Linked DNA regions of Cricetulus griseus. The protein of the gene in region 1 purifies or fractionates together with the protein of each later gene. This does not show direct contact. Links are inferred from orthologs where the notes say so. Each region holds a gene or a part of one and is shown in the gene's direction. Other genes may lie near its edges. The genes, in order: testis-specific serine/threonine-protein kinase 6 and Fkbp5.

What was found.
Region 2: the proteins of testis-specific serine/threonine-protein kinase 6 (region 1) and Fkbp5 purify together in Homo sapiens (affinity purification with mass spectrometry; 4 studies listed by BioGRID and IntAct, with this or other methods). This does not show direct contact. The link is inferred for Cricetulus griseus from reciprocal best matches to the Homo sapiens genes TSSK6 and FKBP5.

Annotation. Positions count from the first base shown.
Region 1 is NW_023276806.1:249,072,447-249,085,315, reverse strand, and holds testis-specific serine/threonine-protein kinase 6, read left to right. Parts: upstream 1-6,942; 5' UTR 6,943-7,415; coding exon 7,416-8,237; 3' UTR 8,238-11,093; downstream 11,094-12,869. Other genes in the region: Ndufa13 (NADH dehydrogenase [ubiquinone] 1 alpha subcomplex subunit 13), read right to left, coding at 120-198, 6,760-6,910. UniProt on the Homo sapiens protein: Serine/threonine-protein kinase component of the sperm flagellar doublet microtubules. May act as a regulator of sperm motility by mediating phosphorylation of sperm doublet microtubule proteins.
Region 2 is NW_023276806.1:233,517,999-233,534,435, reverse strand, and holds the end of Fkbp5 (peptidyl-prolyl cis-trans isomerase FKBP5), read left to right. Parts: intron 1-2,047; coding exon 2,048-2,131; intron 2,132-6,593; coding exon 6,594-6,779; intron 6,780-9,877; coding exon 9,878-10,117; intron 10,118-10,936; coding exon 10,937-11,041; 3' UTR 11,042-12,453; downstream 12,454-16,437. UniProt on the Homo sapiens protein: Immunophilin protein with PPIase and co-chaperone activities. Component of unligated steroid receptors heterocomplexes through interaction with heat-shock protein 90 (HSP90).

The DNA of each region.
Region 1 (12,869 bases):
GGGAACAGCTGAAGGCCTGATCCACCAACCCTTTATTTTAGGACAGGAAGTGAGGGGTAGGACAGCCAGCCAGGACTTTTGCCCTCACAGAACCCGGTGCTGAAAAGGGCCCTCCCTACCTGCGCTCACGGTTCCACTTCATCATTCTCCAGTAGCCAAAAAACAAGGTCCCGATGCCCACAGCAAACATGCTGTAGCCTGCAAGAGAAGTGAGGCCCTCCTTCTCAGCATGGTCCCTCAGGACCCCACCCAGCAACACTGGGTCTCTGTGAAGTGTCTGCTGACTCTCCTCCACAGGTGGCCTGTCCCTTCCCAGCCACTTCCCCAGAACAGTCACTGACAGTCCTGCTTTGTGTCAGTCCAGGCTGCCACACTTTCTGGAAGGTACAGGCAGCAAGGGCACAGGAGAGCCCTATGGTCTAGAGCAGAACTTCTCAACCAGTAGGTCACGACCCTTTGGGGTTCAAACTACCTTTTCACAGGGGCCACATATCAGATATTTACATTATATTTCATAATAGTAGCAAAATTAGTTATGAAGTAGCAATGAAAATGATTCTATAGGTTGGAGTCATCGCAACATGAGGAACTGTATTTTTGTTGTTGTTTTTCAAGACAGGGTTTCTCTGTGTAGCTTTGGAGCCTATCCTGGCACTCACTCTAGAGACCAGGCTGGCCTCGAACTCACAGAGATCCACCTGCCTCTGCCTCCCAAGTGCTGGGATTAAAGGCGTGCGCCACCAATGCCTGGCGGAACTATTTTTTTTTTAAAGATCTTCCTTTAAAAAATAAAAGATTTATTTACTTATCATATACAGTGAAAAGGGCACCAGATCTCATTACAGATGGTTGTGAGCCACCATGTGGTTGCTGGGAATTGAACTCAGGACCTTGGGAAGATCAGCCAGTGTTCTTAACCCCTGAGCCATCTCCCCAGCCTGAGGAACTGTATTTTTTAATTGTTATTTTTGTTTTTCAAGATAGGGTTTCTCTATATACCCTGCTGTCTTGGAGCTCACTCTGTACATCAGGCTGTCCTGAAACTCACAGAAACCCACCTGCGTCTACTTCCCAAGTGTTGGTATTAAGGCTAGCGCCACCACCATACTGTGAGGAACTGTATTAAAGGGTCGCAGCATTAGGAAGGTTAAGAACCACTGGACTAGAAAGACAAAGGTGCCAGGTGTGGTGGCCCACGCCTTTAATCCCAGCACTCATGGTAGAGGCAGACAGATCCCTGTGAGGTGGAAGCCTGCGTGGTCTACATAGGTCCAAGACAGCCAGGGCTACACAAAGAAACCTTGTCTTGTGTGTGTGTGTGTCGGGGTGACAACAACAAAAGGACAGATGCCTGGTCCCCACCAGAAAGCATGGCTCTGAGCAGCACCACCAGAGGCTGGAAGTGCCCCCGGGGTTGCACAGCCTGCTCCTGACTCCAGGGGTGGTGTAGGCGCCACCAGTCCAGCAGGGTAGGCCACCTGCCTTACACCCAGGGGAGACAGGGACCACTATAAATAATTACTGAAGACCAGCAGGGGCAACTCCAATCCTGACTGGCAGGACAAGCTCCAGGGATTATCTACCAATGACTAGAGAGGGTATGGAGAAGGCTGGGCCACAGGGGGAAGAATGGGTTCTGGGGTGCAGCCTGACTGGACCCTCAGCTAGGTCAGGAGCTAAATATTTCCACCTACTCAGCTCGGACTTTAAGGCTCATGCTCAGAGGCCAGGCCCTCCAGTAATGGAAAGCAGGGGAAGCCTTTGGTGTTCGAGGCCATCTCTGGCAGGCTGACTGCAGGGTTAGTCAGCCCTCACCCAAATGGGAAAGCACCTGTACAAATGCTGCACCCTCATTTCCAACAGCTAAGAGGGCCCTAGGGGCCTCATCTTCAGACTCAGTCCCAGAATCTGACCAGAGCTGCTCCTAGTAATTTCTCAGACCAAACAGGCCCTTGTGGGGGGCTCTGGTCCTCAAGTGTGGGCACAATTAACACTGAGGCAGCCTATATTCAGGAGGTGCCATGGGCGAGAGTAGAGCCCACACACACCTTCCCCTCCAGCCACCCCCCACCCAGTAGCTGAAGCTGTAGGAGGCATTGCCACCCTGTGCCATTCTTTCCTGAATCAATAAACGTGTGAGTGAGTGGCAGTTCTTCCCCAACTGTGTGCAGACTCAACACAATCACCATCACAGCCTTGATCCTTTCTCCTCTGCAGAAACCCACAGTCAGGTCATGAGATTCATATGGAAGTACCCAGGGCAGTAATGCTGCTTTCAGGAAATGTGACAGCTTCAAACTCATCAGGCAGCTGTGCACAAAGACACGCTTGCCAGCAGGACAGAACCGGACATCCACGATCCGAAAATAAACCCTCAAAGTTTATGGCCAATTAGCTTTGGACAAAGATACCACAATAATTTAATGGGGTTGAGGAGACTTCTCAGCACTGGACCACTGGCCACACAGAGATGCACAGTGCCCCTGCTCACCTGGAGAAGGAACTCAACTCCCAGTGGATGGAGACCGGAAAGTAAGAGCTAGAGATGTCCAGGGCTGAGCTATTTATTTATTTATTTATTTATTTAGGTTTTTCGAGACAGGGTTTCTCTGTGTAGCTTTGGAGGCTGTCCTGGCACTCCCTCTGGAGACCAGGCTGATCTCAAACTCACAGAGATCCGCCTGCCTCTGCCTCCGCCTCCCGAGTGCTGGGATCAAAGGCGTGCACCACCAACGCCCGGCCAGGGCTGAGCTTAATAGGTAGAATGCTTGCCAGCCTAACATGCTGACTCCTGATCCCTAACAGCATCATCCAGGAGTGGAGGCGCATGTCTGTGATCCCACCACTCAAGAAGCAGAGGCAGGATAATCAAGGGTTCAAAGTCATCCATGGCTACATAGGGCAGCCAAAGCTATATGAGAACCCATTACACACACACACACACACACAGACACACAGACACACACACACACACACACACACACACACACACACACACACACACACACGGCTAGAAGTGATATCAAAAGCCTTAAGGCAGGTGGATCTCTGGAGTTAGAGGCCAATCTTGTCTACATAGAGTTCTAGGCCAGTGAGGATAACATATGAGACCCTGTATCAAAAAGAAAAAAAATAGATAAATTTAAAAGGAAGGAAGGAAAGAAGGAAGGAAGGAAGGAAGGAAGGAAGGAAGGAAGGAAGGGCCCGCACCTTTAACTCCAGCATTCAGAAGGCAGAGGCAGGTGAATCTCTGAGTTTGAGGCCAGCCTGTTTCACACAGTGAATTCTAGGCCAGCCAGGGCTACAGAAAAACTCTGTCTTGAAAAAACAAAAGAAAACAAAAGAAAAGAGAAGAAAAGAAAAGAAAAGAAAAGAAAAGAAAAGAAAAGAAAAGAAGAGCCCAAGTGCCCTGATGCATTCTTATAACGCCGGTGCCCAGGAGGTGGAGTGGGAGGGTCACTGTTTGCAGCTTCCCTGGTTTGCAGCAAGTTCCAGGCCAGCCAGGGCTCTGCAGTGAGACCCTGGTTCAAAGAAAGATGTGCACAGCATGGTGCTCCCCCCACCTCCTCCAAAAAACAGTGAATATATAAATCTACTTTAGAAGAATACAAACAGGACTTCCTTAAGTAAGAGAAACTATTTGTGTAAATGACACTATTAGCTGAGCAGGCCACTGGGAAGGGAAATATCTGCAGAGTATCTGAAAATGTCACAGTACCCCAAACTCAAGTCATCAATAATAAAAATCACATACTCTGGGTGGTGGTGGTGCACACCTTCAATCCCAGCACTTGGGAGGCAGAGGCAGGTGGATCTCTCTGAGTTTGAAGCCAGTCTGGTCTACAGAGAGAGCTTCAGGCCAGCAAAGGCTACACAGTGAAACCCTTTCTCTAAATAAATAAATCTTAAAAACAAAACAAACAAAAAAAGGCGCAGAGCAATAAGGCCAGCACAGCTGTGTCAGGATCTAAAGGGGAAAACCGCATGTGATTTCCAAACAGAAGGAAGCGCTGGGCAGGTGGTTCAGTGGGTAGAGTGCCTACCTAGCAGGCACAAACCCTGGGCTCCACAGCCAGCACCACAGAAACCAAGCTTAGTAACACACACCTGTCATGCCAGCACTCAGGAGGTGGGAGCAGGTTCAGTGCAGGGTCACACTAAGCTACAGAGAGAATTCAAGAGCTACATGAGACCTTGCCTTTAAGTAAATAAAATGCAGGACACATAAAGATTAAAAGTAAGGAAGTAAAGCTTGTAGGCCTGAGGAACCCCCCAGCTTAGTCTAGGTGCCTATGGGCAAATGCTATGCAGTCAGCATGGTGCAGGCCTGAGTGGGGCACAGGCTTGGGTGTGTTACAGCTCAGAAAGAGATGAAACAGAGGAGCTGCCAAGTGGCTCAGCTGGTAAACGCGCTTGCTGAAGAAACCCCGTGATCTGAGCCCCATTCCTGGAACCCCCACGAAGAAAGAAGAAGAAAACTGACCTCCCCATACACATGCATACACAAAACAATTATTAAAATATAGAGCTGGGCCTGGTGTTGGTGGCGAACGCCTTTAATCCCAGCACTTGGGAGGCAGAGGCAGGCGATCTCTGAATCTAAGGTCAGCCTGGTTTACAGAACTAGTTCCAGGACAGCCAGGAATGTACAGAGGAACCCTGTCTTGGGGAAAAACGGAAGGAAGGAAAGAAGGAAGGAAGGAAGGAAGGAAGGAGACGGTGTACACACCTATTATTCCAACACTCCAATGCCTGAAGCAGGAGGAAAAGAGAAAGGGCATTCAAAGCTAGTCTGGGCAAGAGTAAGAATCCTCAGAAAAAAGAGAAGCTGGGCAAAGGAGGCAGCTCAGGGGCTAGGAGCACTGGCTGTTCTTGCAGAGGAACCAAGTTTGGTTCCCAGGACCCATGAGGTATCTCACAGTTGTCTGTTACCTCCAGTTCCAGGGTTTCTGGCACCCTCAATTGGGCTTCAAGGGTATACACAAACAAGGTGCAAAGACATACAACAAAACACATGAAACAAAAGATTAATTAAAAAAAAGGGGGGGGGGGGCTGGAGAGATGGCTCAGAGGTTAAGAGCACTGATTGCTCTTCCAGAGGTCCTGAGTTCAATTCCCAGCAACCACATGGTGGCTCACAAACATCCGTTATGAGATCTGGTGCCCTCTTCTGGTGTGCAAATATACATGTAAGCAGAATGTTGTATACATAATAAATAAATAAAATCTTAAAAAAAAAAAAAACTTTAAAGAGTACTTGCTGACCATGTGGTGGTTACACCTTTAATCCCAGCACTCAGGAGACAGGCAAACCGATTTCTGGGTCAGCCTAGACTATAGAGTAAACTCCAGACAGCCGGGCTACACAGAGAAACCCTTTCTGGAAATAAATAAAGCACTTGCTGCTCTAGTTCAGTTTGCAGCACTTACATGGAAGCTCACAGCTGTTTTTAACTTCAGTTCCAAGGGATCTGACACCCTTTTCTGGCTTGCACAGACACCAGACATGCATGTACTTTGTAGCCCAAGCTGGCCTTGAACTCAAGATACCTGTCTGCCTCTGTCTCCCAAGTGCTAGGATTCAAGGTGTGCTGCACCTGAACCACCACCACCACCACCACCACCACCACCACCACCACCACCACCACCACCATCACCACCACCACCAACACCACCCAGCCAGGGATTCTGTGTATTGCTTTGGAGGCTGTCCTGGAACTCACTCTGTAAACCAGGCTGGCCTCGAACTCACAGGGATCACCTGCTTTCAAACAGGGTCTCACAATATAGTCCTGGCTGGCCTGAACTCTTCACATAGTCTAGGCTAGCCTCGAACTTGGGATGATCCCATCTTTGCTTCTCCTGGGTAGGGCCTGAAGGTTTTGTTTTTTATTTGAGGTATAGTTTACAAAATATGCACAGTAAAGTATAATGAATTAAAATCTAAATCCGCAGAGGGTGGAGTTACCAAGCTCAGGTCCTCTGGAAAAACATCAGGTACTCCTAAACACCAAGCCATCTCTCCAAGTTCCTGAATTCTTTCTTTTCTTTTCTTTTTTTTTTTTTTTTAGCAGAAGGCAGCATCATGTAGCCCAGGATGACCGGTGTCCACCACTTGGTACTGTTTATGCGGAGCTAGGAGTGAGACCCAGGACTTTGAAATGTTAGGCGGGCACTATACCGATTGGACCCCAACCCCTAACTATGGTATTTTTGTAACCCTGAGCAACGAGGGTGGGAAACTTAATATTCTCCCCATTCTTTTCCTGCTGAAATCAACAATACAATTCTAAATGTTACTTAAAACACACATGTCTGTCAGCCTGGCAAGTGGAGGCGGAGGTGGGGGGTCGAGAGCTGCAGAGTGGCCTGGGCTCTGTGCCAGGGCACCATCGACACACACGGAACCTCCTCTTTGGGTCAATCTGTCATTCCAGCACCCAGGGGCAGCGGCAGGGCGGCCACGATTCTGAGGCTAGCCTGGGCTACACAGTAAGGCCCTAACTGCAAAAAAAAAAGAAAAAGAAAAAGGTGCAGACTTGTCAGGTCCTCCCTCGGCCGGCCTGAAACCAAACAAAGTCTGCGAATCGCGGCTCGCTCTGAACGTCCCGCAGCTTAGCTTCTCCAACTGTGGAAGCCACCTGGGGGCCGGGGAGACGCGCAGCCGGGTCCCTCAGGGCGCTGCGACGGCGAGGCCTCCCTCCCTCCGTCCTTCCCTCCCTCCCTCCCGGTGTGACATGACCCCCGCCGCACACTGACCCGACAGGCCCCGGCGGGGCAGGTTCCGCTTGTAGTCGATGGGGCCGTAGCCCCCTGGCGGGGGCATGTCCTGCTTCACCTTCGACGCCGCCATACTTGCGACACCCCACTTCCGGTCACCAGCGGAAGTGAGGCGACGCTCGGCGGCCATTTTGAGTGTGGCGGAAGTGGGTCGTTCTCCGACGGTTCTGAGGTTCCCGCCGGTCCCCGGCGGCCAGCCCCGAGATGTGCACCAGGGCCGCCGTCCGACCCATCCCGGGCCCCGGCAGCCGGCCGAGCCCACCCCGCCGAGCAGCGTCGCCCCCCGGGCCGGCCGGGCCGCGCCCCGCCCCACGGGTGACCGGTCCCCCCGCCGGCGCCTCACGGGGAACGGGCCCGGCCGAGCGATTGAGTCACAAAGCCCGAGGCGGCCTGCGGCGCCCGCGCGGGGCGGGCAGCGCGGCCCCCACCCCGGGCCCAAGTGACGCCCGCGGTCACTTCACAAGGCAGAAATTGTTACCCGGGCAATAACAGTCGTCGCGGCTCCAGGGCCTCGGGAGTGGGCACATGGGGGCACGGGGGTGCGGGTGCCAAGCACCATGGGTTAGGCCCGAGATCGGAGTCCGGCCGCCCCCCGACAGCAGCCGCCTCCTGCTCCCCGCGCCCCGGGCGCCACCATGTCGGGCGACAAGCTCCTGAGCGAGCTCGGCTACAAGCTGGGCCGCACAATAGGTGAGGGCAGCTACTCCAAGGTGAAGGTGGCCACCTCCAAGAAGTATAAGGGCACGGTGGCCATCAAGGTGGTGGACCGTCGGCGGGCACCTCCCGACTTCGTCAACAAGTTCCTGCCTCGAGAGCTCTCCATCCTGCGCGGCGTGCGGCACCCGCACATCGTGCACGTCTTCGAGTTCATCGAGGTGTGCAACGGGAAGCTGTACATCGTGATGGAGGCGGCGGCCACCGACCTGCTGCAGGCCGTGCAGCGCAACGGGCGCATCCCGGGGTCGCAGGCGCGCGAGCTCTTCTCGCAGATCGCGGGCGCCGTGCGCTACCTGCACGACCACCACCTGGTGCACCGCGACCTCAAGTGCGAGAACGTGCTGCTGAGCCCCGACGAGCGCCGCGTCAAGCTCACGGACTTCGGCTTCGGCCGCCAGGCGCACGGCTACCCGGACCTGAGCACCACCTACTGCGGCTCGGCCGCCTACGCGTCACCGGAGGTGCTCCTGGGCATCCCCTACGACCCCAAGAAGTACGACGTGTGGAGCCTGGGCGTCGTGCTCTACGTCATGGTCACCGGGTGCATGCCCTTCGATGACTCGGACATTGCGGGCCTGCCCCGGCGCCAGAAGCGTGGCGTGCTCTACCCCGACGGCCTCGAACTGTCGGAGCGATGCAAGGCCCTGATCGCCGAGCTGCTACAGTTCAGCCCGTCCGCCCGGCCCTCGGCGGGCCAGGTGGCGCGCAACGGCTGGCTGCGGGCCGGGGACTCCGGCTAGGAGCCGGGGTTCTCGCTGTTCCCGCCGCACCAGGCCCTAAGCCAGGGCGGCGCACGCGCGACTGGCGAGCTTCGGGAAACCCGCGAAGTCGCCGCGCGCCACTGCGCACGCGCCCTGTCCCTTCCCCTCCCCCGACGGCGGCGGCCCGCCGAGGCCGGCTGTTGGATTCCTCCTGCACAACCCGATTGCTGGAGGGCGCATGCGCATCCTCGATTTCTGGCGAGAAGGCCCCGGGAGGGGCGCTAAGAGAAGAGAAGGAAGCATTGCGCCTGCGCGGAATGAGCTCCTGCTGCGCGGTGGGTGGCCGCGGCGCGGCGAAGCTGCGGGCCAGCCGTGCGGGCCAGCCGTGCGCTCCAAGTTCCAGTTTGGAACCTGCAATAAATTCGCTCTTCCTCGCAAGTGGCGTTAGCGGTGGGCCCTTGTTAGAGAACAGGGGGTAGGTGAGGTCTCAGCACCTTAGAGAAAGCCATGTATGTGAAGATTCCAGCGTCAGAACTTTCAATTCCCCAAACTGGCCAAACTTCTGGAGGTTCTGTAGTCGTCAACAGGTTGTGATGATGCTTGAATTGGGATCGGCGTGCGTAAAGGAAGGGAGTGCCTGTCCGCAAAAACCGAGCATTGGCAGATGGGGAAACTGAGGCCCACACAGGTGTCAATTGTGCAGAGACGACTATGGTTTGTACTCGGGTATCAAGATGCCTGATGGTGGAACTCTCCCTAGTTTACAGGGAGAAAACAGACCCAGCAAGCCCAGTTCTTCGTGTCTTGAATCAGGTCCTGGGACTTCAAAAGGCTTGAACCATCCTTGCCTAACAAGGATACAAGTGCAATGCCAAGTAACTTAAGATAAAATGTGGAAAGAATTGTAAGTTATAAAGGATGTTAGGTAGGGCAGGGGTATCCAGAGAGAGACTATGAAGCTGTTTGGGGGCTGTGCCCAAACCATTAAAAATGGCACAGAATGCCAGGAGTGTGGCACATGCCTTTAATCCCAGCACTCAGAAGGCAGAGGCAGGTGGATTTCTCTGAGTTTGAGGCCAGCCTGGTCTACATAGTGAGTTCCAGGACAGCCAGGGTTAGAGAAACCCTGTCTCCAAAAACCACACACACACACACACACACACACACACACACACACACACACACACACACACACACAGGCCAGAAAACACAGGACAGAGTGATCCTGGGGAAGTTCCTGGGGCTGAAATAGGAGGGGAATGAGGAAATGGAGGGGAGCTAGAGCAGTACTTCAAAGGGGACCCTGGAGGTGATTTTACTGGGGTTTAGTGACTGGGAAACATTTTCAACCGTCTCCTGCCCCTGTATGAGGCCCAGGTAGTCTAAGGGGCTGTCTGCTGTGGGTCTTGCTATGCTCAACCCCTGCTCCCCTCTCCACAGGTTTCTGGTACCCTGGAGGTCCAGCGTTAGCTCTGTCCTCATTCTGGGTCTCAACTGCCTCATGATGGGGAAACTGAGGCTGCAAGAGAGGGGGGGACCTAAACTCTAGTACTGTCTGGACCTAGTAATGCCAGACCTAGGCAGAAACAGTCCACCCTCTGGTGAATAGGGAGGCTCTGTGGTCACGGGTTTGTGCTCAGTACCTGAGGCATTGAGCAGGACACAATCCCTGGGGCTTGGGCAGCAGATTCCATAGATGGAGTCTTCCAGATTCCAGCACACTAGAATGGATCCTTATGTTCACACAAGCTGAACTAGACATACCACCTGCTTCCCATCGTTCCTCTCTCATGCCGGGGATGGAACCCAGAACTTGAGACTAGGCAGGTGATGGTCCCCAGGGCAAGCCCCAACCCCACTCTGGGGGATTCTAGGCATGGGTTGTACTGCTGAGCCACACTCTCAGATTTGTTTTTGTTTTTTTTTTTTTGGGGGGGGGTTCGAGACAGGGTTTCTCTGTGTAGCTTTGGAGCCTATCCTGGCACTCGCTCTGGGGACCAGGGTGGCCTCGAACTCACAGAGATCCACCTGCCTCTGCCTCCCGAGTGCTGGGATTAAAGGAGTGTGCCACCAACGCCCGGCTAGATTTGTTTTGAGACATGGCTTTGCTATGTAAGCATGGCCAACCTAGGATACTTAACATGTAACCCAAATGCCCAGCTTCCCATTTTCCTTCTGTCTTCCAAATAGTCTCACTATGTAGACCAGGACAGCTCAGAGATCCTCTGTCTCCCAAGTGCTGGGATTAAAGGTGTGCCCCCCCCCATTTTTTTGCTTTCATTTGTGTATGCTTTTTTTTGGCATGTTTGTGCACTATTTGTTTACAGAGCCTGTGGAGGCCAGAAGGCATCAGGTCCCCGAGACTGGACTTACAGATGGCTGTGAGCTGCTGTGAGGGTGCTGGGGACTAAACCGGGGATGTCTGCAAGAGCAGCCAGTGCTCTTAACTGCTGAGCCATCTTTCCAGCCCCCAATTTTTAAGTAAAATGTTTCTAATAGTGGTGGATGCCTGTCTTCCCTGCACTTGGGAGGTGGAAGCAGGAGGATCAGTTCAGGCCTGAGCTTACAGCAGATCCTGCCTTAAAATCACAAAGTGAAACTGGGCATCTCAAGCTGATCAGACACCGGTGGTGGGCCAAGCCCACAGTGAAGCCCCACAAGGTGCTGGTAAAGAAATTACTCCGACAGGTCCCTGTAGCCTCAGGTGGGCAGAAGTCAATTGGGATTCTCACTGGAATCCAGCCTGTTGAGATCAAATAGGCTGGATCAATGCCATGTTGAAAAGGCATGTGCACCCCACCTTCCACTCCCCACTTTAAGATAGGCTACCAGAAGCTGGGACAAAACACTGGGGCCCCAGGAAATTAAAAAACAATACAGTGACATTTGGTTGTTTTATTGTCCTTCAGTGTCTCAGAACTCCCAGATACAAGGCGGCTACCAATTCCAGCTCATTTCTTGGAATATATAATTCCTTTGGTAGTAAACTTTAACACATTATCAATGACTCAGTCACAACAAATACAAGTAGAAGCTGTCTTCCCCAATCCCATACCCTGCACTAGTGTAACTGTTACACTGAAAATTTAGAAACCGCTTTTTGGCAATAGTCCAAGGTCTTCAGGCTGACAGGATTTGGAATGGTGAGGACCATCCTTCTCCAAACACCAAACAGGACCATTCAGGCCGATACTCACCTGGGTTCTCTGCTACAGCCAGCACTGTCACCTTACTCTACCTGGGGTAAGCTTTGGTTTTCCTGAGGTGTCTATGTGGGTGGTCAGGTCCTGAGGCTGCTCATAGGGTCACTATCCCCCACATACCTACCCAGGTGACACTTGGGAGTTGGGCAAGGTCCCTGAGGTTTCTTCAAGCAACTGCCCCCTTCAAACCTGTCCCCAGCAACAAGAAGATACTGAGTGAAGTCCATGTGCCCCCACTGACCAGAGCGTCTAGGCAACCAGTTCATGCATGAAGTGCCATGCCAATCACATCTAACTTTTCACAAGTGTTTTTTTAAAAGTCAGGCATGGAGGTGGAAGCCATTAATCCTAAATCTCAGGAGGCAGAGGACAGCAGATCTTTCTAGGGTGTTGCAAGGAGCCCAGGACCCAGCTCATCAGGATAGGGATGGAGGCAGCTTTGTGGCTGACACCGCACCCTAAGTACTTGGTCTTCCTGGCACAGTCCTTAGTCATGTCACTCTGAGGGCCTGCTGCTCAGACCAGTGCAGTGGACAGGGGCTGGCAGCACTTAGTAACTGAGGGCCCTCACTCTCTCAGCCCTCCTCACACAGTGTCACCCCTGGGAGTGACACACCAGCAGCCCTGGACCTCTGCTGAAGCTTGTCCCCTGTGAGGTACACAAGCCTTAGGTGACAGGTCAATGTCAGGATGGGGAGCAATCACCAGACGTAGATGGCTGGAAGTGTAGGGAGATCACAAGTATACCACCAACAGAGCCCTCTGGTCAGACCCTGACAGTTAATAGAGGTCTTCATCCAGCACCAGGTAATGGTTTGAACTGAGGACTACTGGCTAGGATGACTTCTAGCAGAAGCCACCTAATGTTGCTGCTTCATGGAGGCAGAAGACCTTGGTCCATATGTCACTGAGCAGAGGCCAGCCACTCAGGAAGGGCAGATAACAGGAACTGACTTACCAGGCACACAAATACTCGTGTAAGAAATGCTTGCATATATTGAAATATTTACATATACATTTATTGGTGTAAAAACACCCCCTCTCCCCCAAAAAGGGTCGATTTCTTTTCATTCCCCCAAATCCACCCAGGGAAGTGACACACTCAAACCTAAAAGCACTGAGAAACTTGGGTTTCACACAACAAAAAGATTTTCCAAAACTTGAACTCCCATATGCCCAAATAATTCCTAGAGATGGAGGATTTGCACACAAGTGAGCACGGGGTTAAATGAGCCTTTATTAGGAGGAGGCAGGGGCATGTCTGCAGAGGGTGTGTCTGCAGAACAAGGGTTTAAATTAAAGTCCCTAACTGTATTGTGTCGAGGGAAGCCAGGGCTGGTCGGGATCCGACAGCAACCAGTCACTACAGATGAGCAGTAGGCTGCTCTGGGCAGGCTTGACACACAGTGCTGCTTCTGCCTTTCACCATGAAACCAATTTCTTAGTGGGAGGGACAAAATAAAACTAA
Region 2 (16,437 bases), about 16 Mb from region 1:
AGGATCCCTGGGACTTGCTGGCCAGCCAGCCTGGCCAATCAGTTTGCTCCAACTTTAGTAAGACACCTGTCTCAAAAAGTTAAGTGAAGATCTGACAAGATGCCTTCATGGGTAAAAGCCACAAAACCCAACAACCTGAGTTTGTCTCTAAAACCCACGCAGGAGAGAACTGACTCTGCAGGGTTGTCCTCTGACACCCCCCCCCCACACACACACACACACACGTAATAATAAATAAAATCAGTGTAGTTTTAGAAAAGAGACAAAGGGCTGGAGAGATGGCTCCGAGGTTGAGAACATTGGCTGCTCTTCCAAAGGTCCTCAGTTCAATTCCCAGCAACCTCCTGTAATGGATACATGAAGACAGAACACTGTATACATGATAAATAAATCTAGGGAGAAGGAAGGAGACAAAGGAAATATATGTTGAAAAAATAAGTAAAAGTAGTTTTGTTTTTTTAAATAGGTGGGGAGTGATAGAGAAAGACACCTAAATTGACCTGTGGTCTTTACACAGGTTCATACACTAGCAATATTTGTTGTTCACATGGTATAATATGTATTTATTGGCTGTCCTGGAACTCGCTCTATAGACCAGGCTGGCCTCAAACTCATAGAGATCCTCCTACCTCTGCCTCCCAAGTGCTGGGATTAAAGGCGTGTGCCACCATTGCTCACCTGACTCCACTTGAATTAACTTTCTTTCTTCCTTTCTTGTATTTGAGATTTATTTTTATTTTCTGTGCATTAGTGTCTCTTCTGCCTGTGTGTCCATGAGAGAGGGTCAGCTCTCCTGGAGCTGGAGGTACAGACAGTTGTGAGCTGCCTTGTAGGTGCTGGGAATTGAACTCAGGTCCTCTGGAAGAGCAGCCAGTGCTCTTAGCTGCTGAGCCATCTCCAGCCCTCCACTTGAACTTTCTAATCCATATGTACTAAATAGAGCCAATCACTCCTATTGCATTTCCTGAAAGACTTTGGTTATTCTACTGGACTCTGTGATCTTAACTCCAGCAGTTATATGGATCTTTCTTTTTTTTTAAACCCATGGACTCAAGTACACAGAACAAGCACTGTCTCACTGAATGACAGCCCCAGAGCTGTTGCTTCTAGACCTGCATGGACAGTTGTGGAGAATAGGGTGCACATGATACAAGCTGCCCCAGGTGAGGGTGGAGTCATTTATGCTCAGCTCTGCAGTGATGTTTCCACATGAGCTCCCGTTTTCCTAGTCATATTTTGCTGAAAAGCCCCCAAGGAAAGGCATCATTGAGGTGTAATCCCAGCGCTTGGGAGGTGTTGGCAGGAGGGTCACAAGTTCAAGGTCATCCTTGTCTACATTGTAAGGTGGAGGCCAGCCTGGAAAAAAAAGAAAAGACATTGCCCAAGTGCACACCTGCAAGCTGATACTGGTAGAGACTATAATCCATCTGGTCGTGAGTGATGAGACAATGCCTGACCTGGAATTTAAAAAGTTCTCTGTGCATGTACAGCTTGGCCTGGACCATAAGTAATGATCCTGATTGAGAGCTGGAAAACAGACTTGGCAGAAGCAGAAGTGAGGAGGCCTCGGGAGGCCAGCTTTGTCGTTCTACAGTGCAGTCCTTCAGAGCGCTCGGCTCGGCTCGGCTCTGATGCTCTTGCTGTGCTTTGCCCATTCTCCTTGGACAGCTTTGCTTGGTCAGACCACAGCTTGGGAACCACGGCTCATGTTCTTAAAGTGGCACCTAGACCACTGGCCCGGTGGTGGCTCCGCAGCAGCACACGGTGCTGCCTGCCAGTGTCTTGTTTTTCGAGACAGGGTTTCTCTGTGGCTTTAGAGGCTGTCCTGGAACTAGCTCTTGTAGACCAGGCTGGACTCAAACTCACACAGATCCACCTGCCTCTGCCTCCCGAGTGCTGGGATTAAAGGCGTGCGCTACCACCACCCAGCCGCCTGCCGGTGTCTTGAGTTTGGGTATCTTCTAGAAGTAGCTGGTGTTTGATCTGTAGGCATCAAGTGGTGTGTGTCCTCCTGCTCATCTAACTAATGCCACAAATCTGTACACAGGCCAAAGAATCCTGGGAGATGGACACCAAAGAAAAACTGGAGCAGGCTGCCATTGTCAAAGAGAAGGGAACGGTGTACTTCAAGGTGTGTGAGTCCCTGTAAACCCTGTCCCTGCCCCACTGTTGCTCAGTGTCCATGTGCCGTGCTGGTAACCCTCAGTTTCCACGCTTTCCTGCTGTCCTCAGTGTAAGGATCTGTGAGAAGAGCGCGCTAGTGTGAAGGCAGTAACTCAGGCACCTCACCTTTATGCCATGAGCAGACCTCACCTGGCCTGCTCACCTGCATCCGTACCACTCAAGGCCTGATGGTGCATCCCGGTTGGTCCATCGTTAGTGTGCAGTGGGTGTGAAGAGAAAGGATGGAGAGAGGTTGTGATAGTCAGAGTTCACAGGAGTGGGCTCCACGCTTCCTCCCACTCCTCAAGTTCACTAGGACCTGTGACAGGAAACAACATGCAGAGTCTTCAAACCACGCTGGGTGACCCCCTCCCCCTGCATTACTGCACTGCACTTGTTTTCATGTAAGCACAACCCAAGAAGGCCCTGGTTGTTCTCATTATGGTTTCCACTTGAAATAGGAATTACTGGGGCTGGAGAGATGGCTCAACAGTAAGAGCACTAACTAACTGCTCTTCCAGAGGTCCTGAGTTCAACTCCCACAACCACATGGCGGCTCACAGCCATGTATAATGGAATCTGGTGCCCTCTTCTGGCCTGCAGGCATACATGGAGGCAGAATCCTGTATACGTAATAAATAAATCTTTAATAAAAAATAAGAAATATGAATTACCTTTGCACTCTAAATTGGAACAGCAGTTTTCACAGCCAGTATCCTCAAAATAGATCTTTAATATTTGATAAGTTTGGGGGATTGTTGTTGTCGTTTAAGACAGGATTTCTCTGTGTAGCCCTGGCTGTCCTGGAACTTGCTCTGCAGACGAGGCTGTCCTGGAACTCATGAGATCCACCTGCCTCTGCCTCCAAGGTGCTGGGATTCAAGGAGTCTACCACCACTGCCCACCTTGTTTGATAAGTTTTATCTAGAAATACATCACTGCTGCTGTAACTGAACAACAAAATAAAGATGCCACTAATGGTGCTGGCTGGGTACCAGGAAAACTCTGGAGACTGGCATGGATGACTCAGCATCCAGGGATGCTCAGCACAGCGCATTTAAGAACCTGGTGGGGAGAGGGCACTGAACCTTGCACTGGCCATGGTGATACTACTTACAGCTGCCCTACATGACAGCTGCTTCCCCAGAGCCCTCTCCGTGGGACCTAGGAGCCAGTGCTTTATCCCATAGATTCTAATCCCAGGTGCAAGAAAGGAGATTTCAGAGTGCCATACAGCTTGTTGCCAGCCCACTCCCAAATGTGTATCTCTGCACACCAAGTGAAGACTTAGTGTTGAGAATTCAAAAATGGATGTGTTCTCCTGGGCTAGGTGATGCTGTTGGAAGCAGCTGATTCAGTTCCCTGCCTTGTAGTAAAGAGGTTGAAGCCTGCAGCCAGCTGTGGTGGTACACGTCTTTAATCCCAGCGCTCCAGAAGCAGAGACAAATGGATCTCTGTGAGTTCAAGGACAGGTCTGCATAGCAAATTCCAACCAATCGGGGCTACATAGTGAGACACACACACCCCCCCCCTCTCTCTCTCTCTCTCTCACACACACACACACACACACACACACACACACACACACACACACACACGTGTTCTTGGATTTTTTTTCTTGTAACTGCAGTCTTGAGAAAGGGGGTGTGGAGGGAGAGAAAGAGCTATCCATTGGTTTATTTACTTGTTAAAGAAGATTCTTTTTTGTTTGTTTGGTTTTTTTTGTTTTTTGGTGGTTTGTTTTCATGACTCTGTGAAGCACAGGTCTGAGTCAGGTCTTCATGGGCCCCTTTCTGTCACATGGCACTGCCGCCTCTACCACCTTATCTGCAGGTGGGAACCAAGTGGGATAACTGGCAGAGACAGTAAAGACCACTGGGCTTTTTGTTTAGCGGGAGGCAGTTCATCTGTTCTCCATTTGAGACCAGTGTTGGGTCATGGGACCATCTCAGTGATTGTGCACTGCATATGGTGTGGATGAGTTTTGTTTATTGTAAGTGATACTAGGTAGTCATTTTTTAAAGTACTTTTTTAAAAGATTTTATTTATTTATTATGTATACAACATTCTGCTTCCATGTCTATCTGCACACAGAAGAGGGCACCAGATCTCGTTATAGATGGTTGTGAGCCACCGTGTGGTTGCTGGGAATTGAACTCAGGACCTCTGGAAGAGCAGTCAGTGCTCTTAACCTCTGAGCCATCTCTCCAGCCCTGTGGGCAGTCATTTTAAAGCACGTCTTCACTGTGGGCGAAATCTAGAGATTTTAATAATATACATCCATTTGTTTATTCTAACAGTTGCTAAAATAAAAAAGAATAAAGTATGAATCAGAATACAGACAGATATGAGCTCTCAGTTGGGAAATCTGGAAAATTCGACCTTTGGTTTTCATGTGATTCAGATCCCTTACTGGTGTTTCTTGGGAGCATTACAGTGATGATACGTATATTTCAACATGTTTTGAATCTTCCTAAAATTACCAATCTGGATAAAATCTGGATCATCAGTCACACATATGGAACATATTATTCTTAACATGTAATTTGATAGACAAGATCTTTCTGTTAGGGGAAAATTAATGAAAGGTTCAAAACCAGTGACCTAAGACTTACCCCAGACCGTCTCTGGACATTTTGTACCATTGACGTCCTAGAGGCACCCTTCCTAATTATAGGTGAAGGTCACAGTGGTGATGCTAGCTGGAGCTGTGGGTTTTGGAAGTGTTGGTAGGCTGCCTCCTGTACGAGTTCCCTTTTCAATGCTCAGGACAGCTTTCGTTCTGCCTGCCTGCCTGCCTGCCTGCCTGCCTGCTGCTCTCAGCAGTCCATCTTCCCAGGGTGTCTGACTTGACATGTGCCGCACCCAGCATGCAGAAGTGTGGGTGACTGCAGAGATGGGCCGCACTGCTGACCTGTATTTCAAAACATCTGCACATTTTATTGACCTGCAAGCTTGGTTAACAGCTGTGGGCAAAGCAGGACTGAGTTGTGCTATTTAGACTGGTGTTGAAACTTCCTTTCAACCTCTGAACACTCATGAGAAGAGAAGCAGGAAATGACTAACCTCGTCTAGTTCTGCAAGTCATTGTTAAGCATAGGTGGCCTGTGAAGGCTGGGGACTCCCTGCTGTGTGCAGGTGTCTTGCGCCCCCTAGTGCTCCATGAGAAGGAAGTGTGTCTGAGGCTGGCTGGTTGTGCCTGGGGGCCAGGACTCACTGCTATGAGTACAGGCAGTCCTCCTGCCGGTCTCAGCAGTGTGCAGTGTGTAAACATTGGGTTTCGTATCCTGCAGTGTGCTGCCCTCTGCCATCTGATAGAACGTGTCCTCTGTACTCAGGCTTGTACTTGCCTGCTGCAGAGAAGAGTCCTAACCTGATTCCCAACGGCCACTCCACAACATGAAGTTGCGTTATTACAGCAGTGAGCACGTGGTCTCCACCGCAGTTTCTTATTCATTCAGTAGCGTACACATTAGTAAGCAGGGCCAGGGGGTGTGCTGGCCCATGTCTGTGATTCCACTTACTCTGGAACAGCGGGTCTCACCTGTTGGTTGACCCCTAGCAGGTCACAGCATTAGGAAAATTGAGAACCACTGCTCTGGAAACTGAGGCAGGAGGACCACAAGTTTTAGGCCGGCCTTGACAACTTAGCAAGGTCCTATCTGTCTGAAATAAAAATGAGGGTTTGGCGGTATAATGGGTACAGTGCTTATAGTATACATGCGGCCCTGGGTTCAGTCCTTAGTACTGCAGAGGGGGTGGAATAGGGCAAATAAGAGTAGACCAGCTTTCTCACACATTGATTTTGCTGTTCAAGCTTGCTTATACTGTACACAGTATAAGCTGTATGCTGTACTCTGGCCCACTGCTTACTCTTAGAAGTACAATGAAGCCAGGATGCAGCCACACCGGTGCACAGACACCACCAGGACGCAGCCATGCTGCTGCAGCTTTGCCTGTGTTGGCTGGTGCTACTCTCACACTACTCATGAGAGCCGAGGACTTGCAGTCTGCTTCAGAGAGCCCAGGCTTGCTGTCTGGTGACTACGTTACCATATTGCAGTATTTACTATGCAATGCTGAATGCCAGGAGAAGAGAGAAAAGTCACCCCCGCCTTCCATAAGCCATACGGCTTGCCATCCTTTGAAAGACTGTTGAATATTGGCTTCAAATGGTGTAACCACCTGCTGCCAGGCTGGAATAATGCCAAGAAACAGCATGCCGTGTGTCAGCCTGCTACACACACAGGCTACCTCACAGACCAGCAGAGCTTCCACAGGGGAGCTGAGGCCGTATAATTCAAGGACACAGAGCGGGTTGTCATGCAAGCCTGTTCCATGTGAGGACCCAGCCAAGGCAGGCCATGCTCGCGCTGTGTTACATCCTTTCCTGAGCACAATACGAGTCATCACTGGCCTTTTTCTCCCAGGGAGGCAAGTACATGCAGGCTGTGATTCAGTACGGGAAGATTGTGTCCTGGCTGGAGATGGAGTACGGCCTATCAGACAAGGAGTCAAAAGCCTCTGAATCCTTCCTGCTGGCGGCCTTCCTAAACCTGGCCATGTGCTACCTGAAGCTCAGAGAGTACACCAAAGCTGTGGAGTGCTGCGACAAGGTGGGTGGCCCCGTGATGTGCACTTGGGTGGTCCGCACCCCACCCTCTGTCCCTGGGGAGCTTCTGTTGCCCTCAGGCAGTGTCCTCTATGCTCGGCATGAGCTGGGACACCCAGAGGATTGGGCTAGACATGGACTATTTCTATCTAGCATTTTACATATAATTTTTCATAGAATTGATGACAGTTTTCACCTGTGGTCTTACACTGGTTTTGAGCATCATAGTAGAGAAAGAACTCTGGGAGTTCCACTTTTTGTTTTGTTTTGTTTGTTTTGTTTGCCCTGCTGGGGATTGTGCCTTGTGCACACTGGACAAATACTCTACCACTAAGCCATATCCCCAGCCCTTGGGTTCCTGTTTAATGGAGCAAATTTAGTCTGAGTTTCTTAGGTCTTCAGCCACTGAAAACACAAATGTAATTTAAGGGGCGGTGGAGCATCTCAGCAGCCCTCACAGTTTTGCATTTGTGCTCTGATCCATTGCTACGAGTGGCAGCGGTTTGCCGTGAGTACCGCCTTGACAGTTTTCTATTCTAGTTAATATGGAACAGTATATGTTACAGCATAAGTAAAAACTACCATTGAGTGAGTGTATCTTACAGGTGGGCCTGAAGACAGTTATAACAGTTATAACTGTCCTGTTGCCATGAAGAGACACCATGGCCAAGACAACTCTTATGAAAGAAAGCTTTTTGTTTGTTTGTTTTTCATTACACAGGGTTTCTCTGTGTAACAGCCCTGGCTGTCCTGGAACTCACTCTGTAAACCACACTGGCTGCCAACTCAGAGATCCACCTGCCTCTGTCTCCGGGTGCTGGGACTAAAGTTGTGTACCACCACCGCCTGACAATTTTGTGCTTTTTTTTAAATACAGAGATGTTACAAAGCTGCTCAGAATTCAAGCATACAAGAAATTCCAGCCATAGAATTTCCATCAGCTTTGTCTCTCAAAGCCATTTTTTTAAAGATACACTTTACGTTTTTTAAATATTTGTACATGCATGCTATCTGTGTGTGGGAATGTGCTTGTGTGCACACAGGTGCTCCTGGGGGCCAGGAGAGAGATCTGATCCCTGGAGCTTGGGTCACAGGCCTTATTCTTCCCCAGCCCTCCTGCTCCATTCTGTAAACATTCATTATGTGCAGATAGGTGCTGTGTAGACGCCATGGTGCACATATGGGCAACTTGAGGAGTTCTTCCACCGTCCAGGTCCTGAGGATCCAACGCAGTAGTAAGCCTGGCCTAACCCACAGGAAGGGAACACCCAGTAGATGGGAAATAGGAGGATCAGGAAGGTGTGTTAACTGCTGGCGTCCCTCAAAGTTGTGAGCTCCGGGTTCAGGGAGAGACCTTGCCTCAAAAGGAGTAAGGGAGAAAGTAATAGAAGAAGATACTTGTCCTTTGGCCTCTGTGTGTGTGTGTGTGTGTGTGTGTGTGTGTGTGTACGTACACAGATGAATGTACATCCATACACTTATGCATAATACATACAAAAAAATGAACTTAAAGCTGACTAGAGAAAGATCTGGACATAATTCCCTTCCCTGTCGGATGACTGCACTCACTGCTCTCCCTCATCAGGGTTAGGATTAAAAGACTCGTTGTAAGATCAGATGTGTGAAGGTGTGGTGGTTTTACTTTAATTCGTCCTCACTGCAAGATCTTCAGAGTTTGCTTTTGTTATTAGAAGGTTCAGAGTAATTTTAAAAGTTAGAAGAGAATGTGATGCATTCAGTGTTTCTCGTCGCATGTTTTTGGGGTGTTTGCACAGGATAAATTCCTACAAGTGCCAGAGATAGGAGCACTTAAAGTTTTAGGTGGGTAAAGTGCCTGTCACACAAGCGTGAGGCCCTGAGTTTGATCCTTGGCACCCGCATAAAAGCTGTGCATGGGGGCTAGAGAGTGGCTCAGTGGCTAAGGCACCTGCTGCTCTTCCAGAGGACCCAGGCCCCATTACCAGCACTCACATGGTGGCTCACAGCTCTCTGTAACTCCAGTTCCAGGGGATCCTAATACCCTGTTCTGCCTTCCACTGGTGTAGAGTCAGTGCTCATACATACATACATACATACATGCAGGCAAAATACATGTACCAAAAAAAATCATAATAATTCCAGACCACCCATGCTTGTTATCCCAGTGTTGGTGGAGCAGATCTCCAGGGCTCACTGGCCAGCCACCCTAGCCTATCAGCATTCTCAGTTCCTGAAGACTGACATCTGGCCTGCATATGCATGAACATACATATGAGTTAGGGTAGGGCTCTTTGTCTGACACTTAGTTCAAAGGGTTCAGTCCATGTCTGGCTGACAGTATTGCTGTGGGCAGAAATGGAAGCAGAAGGGCATGGCAGAGAAGAGTCGCTTGCTTTTATAGAAGCCAGGACACAGAGACCCAGGGACAAGGCGTACCTTTCAAAAGCACACCTTTAATCCCAGCATTCAGGAAGCAAGGCCAGGTGGAGCTCCATGAATCTGAGGCCAGCCTGGTCTATATACTGAGTTCCAGGACAGCCAGAGCTACATAGTGAGACCCTGTCTCAAAACGAAACAAAACAAAACAAAAACTTCACACCCCTTTGACCTTCCTCTAGTCAGTCCAGTGGTTCTCAACCTTCCCAATGCTACAACCCTTTAATACAGTTCCTCATGTTGTGGTAACCACCAGTCGTAAAAATATTTCATTGCTATTTCATAACTTTGCTACAGTTATGAATTGTAAATATCTGATATTCAGGATAGCCGATATGTGACCCCTGCAGGGGGGGGCGGTGATCCCCTGGTTGGGAACCAATGCTCTAATCCCTTACAACCCTGTTCAGTACAGTCTCACTGATAAAGGGTCCTCAGGGCCAGTCAGACCTCCCAACACCATCTAGGGATCCGGCTTCAACACATGCACTTTGGGGAGGCATTTTCTATTAAAACACTTGATTATCTTGTCATCCCTGTACACACGCATGCTTCTTTGGGGTGTAATTGCATCTCTCACCTGTCACCCTTGAACTGCACACTATTTCCTGAAGCTCTTCTTCACTGCCCTCAAGTGAGAAGACTTACAGCCATCCCTCCTAAACTGTGGGCGTCTCTCTGTTCTAGGCCCTCGGACTGGACAGCGCCAATGAGAAAGGCTTGTACAGAAGGGGTGAAGCCCAGCTGCTTATGAACGAGTTTGAGTCCGCCAAAGGTGACTTTGAGAAAGTGTTGGCGGTTAACCCTCAGAATAAGGCCGCGAGACTGCAGATCTCCATGTGCCAGAAGAAAGCCAAGGAGCACAATGAGCGAGACCGCAGGGTGTACGCCAATATGTTCACCAAGTTCGCGGAGCGGGATGCAAAGGTGCGCGTGCGCAGCCCCGACCCCAGGCAGATGAGGAGCTGAGCTAACCCAGCGGAGGGGACAAGGCTGGGTTGCCAGCCTAAGAGAAACAAGGCTAAGGAAGAGACTTGGGTGTGGCCAGAGGCTGCTGAGGATGCACAGGTTTGGTAGGGCTCCAGCTGAGGCCCTGCTTGTCCACAAAGAGGTGGGGAGGCTAACTCCTGAGACATAGAAGACTGTAGACCAGGCTAGCTTCATCTCAGAGATCCTCCTGCCTCTGCCTCAGGAGTTCAGGGATTTCAGGCATCTGTCACCAAACCAAGTTAGCTTGTTATTTAAAATATTAATAAATTCAGCGTGCCTTTAATCCTAGCACTTGGGAGGCAAAGGCAAATGGATCCCTGTGAGTTGGAGGCCAACCTAGTCTACAGTGTGTGTTCCAGGACAGCTATCAGTATTTTTTTTTCCCAAGTAATACTTCCTGGGTAAGATATCCAGCTTGGCTTGGAAACGGGTGTCACTGCAGCCCCACACAGTGCTCTTTACTGTACACTGCCATCTGTTTGAATGCCAAGCTGGCAGTAGGTGTACCTGAAGACAGGTCAGCTTCTTGCCCTACAGACATTCTCTGCTCCCAAGTCTGTCCCTGAGCCCCAGCTTCCACCACCACAAGCCTTAATGATTCAACAGCCACCTCAGATAGCAAGCTCTTCTGTTGCATGCCACCACCCCCACTTACCAACTGTGCGTCCCAAATACTAGCAGACACATTTATTGTAGACTGGATTAAACCATCTTAGGAGGACAGAGGCTAATTTCACCTCCTCCTTTAACCCCCAGGAAGCAGCCAGCAAAGCAATGAGCAAGAAGACTGTAGAAGGAGAGGCCTGTAAAAGATCCGAGAGGCAGGCCATGGAAGAAGGAAAGGCTGAAGGCCATGTATGACGCCACGCCAAGGAGGGAAGAGAGTCCTAATGAACTCGGCCCTCCTTGCTGGGCTCACACCCAACTCAGGACTGAACAGTGTCTAGTGTAAGGTTTGTTACAGTCTCTGGGATTCTGGAAGCAAATGGCAAAACCAATAGCTTCCCAAAATAACCACCCTGCTGCTGCCCAGGGGTGGGGGTGGGGGTAGGGGGACACGCCGGGGAACAGAACAGAAAAGCCCATTGGTGTGCAGAGACCAAGCCAGCAGCTCAAGTCCAGCTCATTTCAGTGTCCTACACAGCATCCCTTGATGGTCCCAAGGCCCCGGCTGCCTCAGGGCTCTCCATCTGCGCTTCAGTAGCCCCGCAGGAACCATCTCTGCTTTCCTGTTGGGAGGCAGGGCAGGGGTGGAAGATCTGACTCCAGTGCTGAGAACACAAGCCCAAAATGAGGGGTCCCCAGGTCCACAGCAGAGTCTCAGAGGTCACTTGCCTGCCTGTCCAGCGGCTTCCCAGGTTCCCTTCTCAGACTCTTGTGAGTGTAACTTTCCGTCACACCCAGAGAGTCTGTTATTACTCCAACACCCTCATCAGGTGGTGGTAGGTGGGAGTTTCCGGGTTAGCTTTCCCTAATTAGAGTGAACTCATTGAGTGGCTTGTTTCCCGCTGTCCCCCGCTTTAAAGTATGTTAGCTCTCAGTGCTGCTGCTCAGCCTCCTGTTTCCTTTCCCTGACTCGCTGTGAAGAACTGAGGCTTGCTCTTGTCCTAGACCTGGAGTGGACTAACGTCCACATCCAACTAAGATTGACGCAGCTACTCTTTTTTTTTTTTTTTTTTTAATTGTTTGTAAGCATATATAGCGCTTTATGGAAGAAACTTCACACTCCTCTACCATGCAAAAACATTTTTCACTTTTTACTTTTTAGCTTTGGTTTTGAAAGGCAAAATCTGTGAGGTTTGAAGCAGGCAGTTCCTCTTAGAGTGAGGGTACCTGGAGGTTTGATGGGCAGATGCTGTCCCTCTGTACCCCAGCCTCTTCGTTCTGGTGTCCTATAAAGGTTGCTGGCTTCCCATGCAGGTCCATCAAGCCAGAGTCTCCAGGTCTGGGCATGGGATCAGGGCAAGCCTTAAGTAGCCATGTAGTTGGATTTTAGTCCTGCGGGAAGTGTACAGGATTGAGTGCTACTTGCTTCTCCACAGCCTATGAACCCTGGAAACCTCACTCTTGTAGCCCTAGGGATACTGGTGGTTGCATTTAGATGAGTTTGTTTTTATGTTTGTTTTAATAAAACAGTCTCATTGTTAAGTTAGGACTTTAAAACCTACAAATCAAGTTGTTTTCAAGCTGTTCCAGTTTTATTCTACATGCAACGGATGGAGTTCAGCTTTGAGGAATTTCGTTTACTGGTGACTAAAACCTCTTAGATTTCACACTTTCCACTTCTGCCTCTTTTCATGAATAATGTTTTCAGCCCTGATCTCGCCTAGGAAGCACAAAGAGCAGGAGCTGACTGTTCTTATCTAACTCTGATGTCTGTAGTTCTGTTGACTGCAGCGCAGAAACAGGACATAGCTAAGACTTGAGCCTAGCAAGTTAGCCCATTGGCTTTTTACAGGAGACCTCTTTTTCAGAAAATTGGGTGACCTTCACCAGCTGTCTCCCAAGTGTGCACCATGGGCCAAGGAGACTGGTGCCAGGAGAAGGTGTGCAAGGTTTCCAGCCAAAAGTGGCGAGGTACCCAGCACCACTAGGCTTGATGCGTTATTGTATTCAATAATTTCAAATAATTCATATGGAAATCAGAAGATGTCTTCAAAGCACCTTTAGACTGGGTAGAATGATGGGTGACCAGATGATACACTTAAATTTTGGTTTTTAAAAAATCATTTAGAAGCTGGAGGTAGTGGGTGTATTTCCTTTAATTCCAGCACTCAGGAGGCAGAGGCAGGTGGATCTCTGTGAGTTCCAGACCAGCCTGGTCTACAAGAGCTAGTTCTAGGCCAACCTGGTCTACACAGTGAGTTCCACAACAGCCAGGCCTATATAGTGAGACCCTGTCTCAAAACAATACAAAAAAAAAAAAATCATTTAGATGCATTTTGTGTTCCTTAAATAAATTTTTTAAAAAGTGGTTTTTCATTGTTCTTACGTTGTTTTTTGATTTTTAAATTTTCCTTACTTTATCTGTGTGTGTTTGAGTGTATGTGTATCTAGGTGACCTTGGAGACCAGAAGAGGACTTTGGATCCCCTAGAAGTGGAGTTACAGGGAGTTGTGAATTTCATGTGGGTCCTGAGACCTGAACCTAAGTCCTCTGCAGATCAGTAAATACTCTTTACCTGCCGAACCTGTGTGTTCACTACGCACACATACACCATGTGCAGGTAGTGGCCAAGGAAGATAGAAGAGGGCATCAGATGCCCTGGAACCAAAGTTATAGATGGCTGTGAGCCACCATGCAGGTGCTAGGAACTGAACCCAAGACCTCTGCAAGAGCTGCCAGTGCTCTTAACTTCTCAACCATCTCTCCAGCCCTGATAAATAGCCTAAAAAGAAAAATGTTTTGGTCTACAGCCATCGTTCTGTAGACAATAGATCTCCACTGAATCTCAGAACCTCAACATATTGGACCTTGTGTTAGTCACTGTCTATCGCTGGGACAAGATAACCATGACCAAGGCAACTATATAAGAAAGGGATTATTTGGGGCTTTCAGTTTTAGAGACTCAAGAGTCTACACTGCAACCCCAGAGAACCTAGGTAACAAAGAGGACTCCAAGAAAGACAGACATGGATCTGCCTAGGAAGGGGAAAAGACAAGATTTCCTGAGTAAATTGGGAGTGTGGGGGGGCAAGGAGGACACCTTTAATCCCAACACTCGGGAGGCAGATGCAGGTGGATCTCTAAGTTCGAGACCAGCCTGGTCTACAGAGCTAGTTCCAGGACAGCCAGGGCTACACAGAGAAACCCTGTTCTCAAAGCCCCCCTGATGGGGGAAGTGCTTCTGTGTATGTGTTTGTCTTACTAGATGATAAATAAAGTACTGTTTGGCCAATGAGGCAGCAAGTTAGGCGGGACTAGGAGTCAAGGAGGATTCTGGGAAATGTAGTAAAGAAGTGGTGATCCACTCAGGAAGTGACATGGTAGGGAGACTCATATAAACAAGGGCAAGAAGGAAGTGAGCCCCTTCTCTCTTCCTCCAGAGTCACTATGTGATCCCAGTATGAGGCATCCTAGATAAGTCTTATAAAATATATAGATTTATGACAATTAAGACTGTGCTAACAGATGGGAAATCCTAGTCATTGGCCATGCAGCATTTGTACCTAATATAAGTCTCTGTGTATTATTTGGGGCCCTAACTCGGTGGGCAGAACTCGGGCAGCTGGCAGAAAGAGCCCACGTGGCTGTAGGGCTCGGGTGGCATTTGGCGAAAAGATTTATTTTAACCCCCCCCCAAAAAAAAGCCCATGGTGGCAGCACAAGTTCAAAGTGGCAGAAATAGCTGAGAGCTTAATATCTTGATCAGTCAGTACCAGGCAGAGGGTGCTAACCAGGAATGGCATTAGTGTTTTGAAACCTCAGAGATCACCCCTGCTAACACACCTCCTCTAACAAGACCACACCTTCTAATCCTTTCTAAACAGTTCTACCAGCTGGGGACCATTATCGCTTAAACCACCATAGGTTGGTCTGTCCTTGGATGCAGAAAAACTGGGTTGAAAAACTGATGGGCCCTGTGGTGGCGCCGCCTTTAATCCCAGCACTTGGGAGGCAGAGGCAGGCAGATCTCAGTGAGTTCAAGACCAACCTGGTCTACAAAGCGAGTTCCAGAACAACCAGGACTGTAACACAGAGAAACTCTGTCACAAATAAAAGCAAAATAAAGGAAAAGCTCTGATGGAGCCCACCTGAAGAAATGAGATTTGGGGGCTGGAGAGATGGCTCAGCGTTTAAGAGCACTGGCTGCTCTTCCAGAGGTCCTGAGTTCAATTCCCAGCACCCAAGTGGTGGCTCACAACTATTTATTATGGAATCTGATGCCCTCTTTTGGCCTGCAGATGAACATGCAGTCACAGCACCACATAAAACTGGGTGTGGTAGTGCCCATCTGTTCATGCCAGCTCTGGGCTAGGAACCAGGTCAAGGATCCAACGTTGCTGGTCATGGTGGCACACACCCTTAAACTCAGAGGAGAGGCAGGCAGATCTCTGTGAGTTCCAGGACAGTCGGGTCTATGTAGAGAGATCCTATTGCAAAAGTTAAAAATGATCCGACATTGTCATTGTAAATTGAGGCCAGCCTAGGATGCATGGAGCCTATGGGGGAAGGAGAAGAGAAGGGGCAACCCCTGTGGCTCCTAATACCTTGATAAGCACGACCCATGGTGTGACGGCTTGAGATGGCTGTGATTCACAGGTTCTTTGTCTAATAGGGCCAAGAGCCTCGAGAATCAGGAAAGGGGAGGGAATCCTAGCGCATGTACAGTGGCCCTGTGGTTATAAAGTCACCTGATGCCCTGACCCAGTTCCAAAATAGCCTTTTCTAGGCCGAGCTGTGGTCCTCCTGTCAGAAGAGAAGTGGGTCATCTGCTGGGCTGGGAATGCAGCCAGGTGGACGCCCCTGAGGGCACCTCCTCCCTGAAGCCACTCTGGATGAAATGGGGCTTGGATGTGGTGCTTCTGGACACCCGTACACACACCCATCCAGCAATCTGGTTAGTTTGCGAAAGATTCTGTTATTCCCTCATCTGGAGCAGCCAGGTCTGCATATTGGAATGCTGCTGTTCACTGAGGGTGAGCCCAAGGCAAGGCTCTACACTGCACACACACACACACCCCACACACACACACCAGGGGTCCATGGGCTCAGATGTAGAGAACAGTAATGGGAAAGCGACCCCAAGCCACAGATTGGAATGGGGTTCTGGAAACACGCTAGATGTAGGAAGATGTGGCGGCTTCAAGGGACTCACCTTGTGAGATCCCGGAGGTGGTGTGAGCCTAGCCACCCAGACCTGCGGGCTAGGAGCCCCCGTGTGTCTCAGATGACGGGGTATACCTAGTCTCTAGGCCTTTGGGATAATGTGTTTTTATAAGGTAACTCTTGCCTTGGGACACCATGACTCAGCTTCAGGTTATCTCTAGAGCTCCTGACCAAGAAGAGAGATAAGATCAAATAGGTAATCATTAGTATTTAGGGGCAGGGTGGGGCTGACCTCATGACTCACCAGCTATTTTATCTATCAGGTTCCCACACCGTGGAGTCTGGATTGGCTTTTAGTTTTGTTTTCATTTATTATTCTTTCATACAATACATCCCAACCGACCACAGCATCCCCTCCCTCCACTGTTCCAGTACCACACCCCCTGCCCCAGATCCATTGCTTCAGAAAAAAGCAGGTCTCCCAGGGA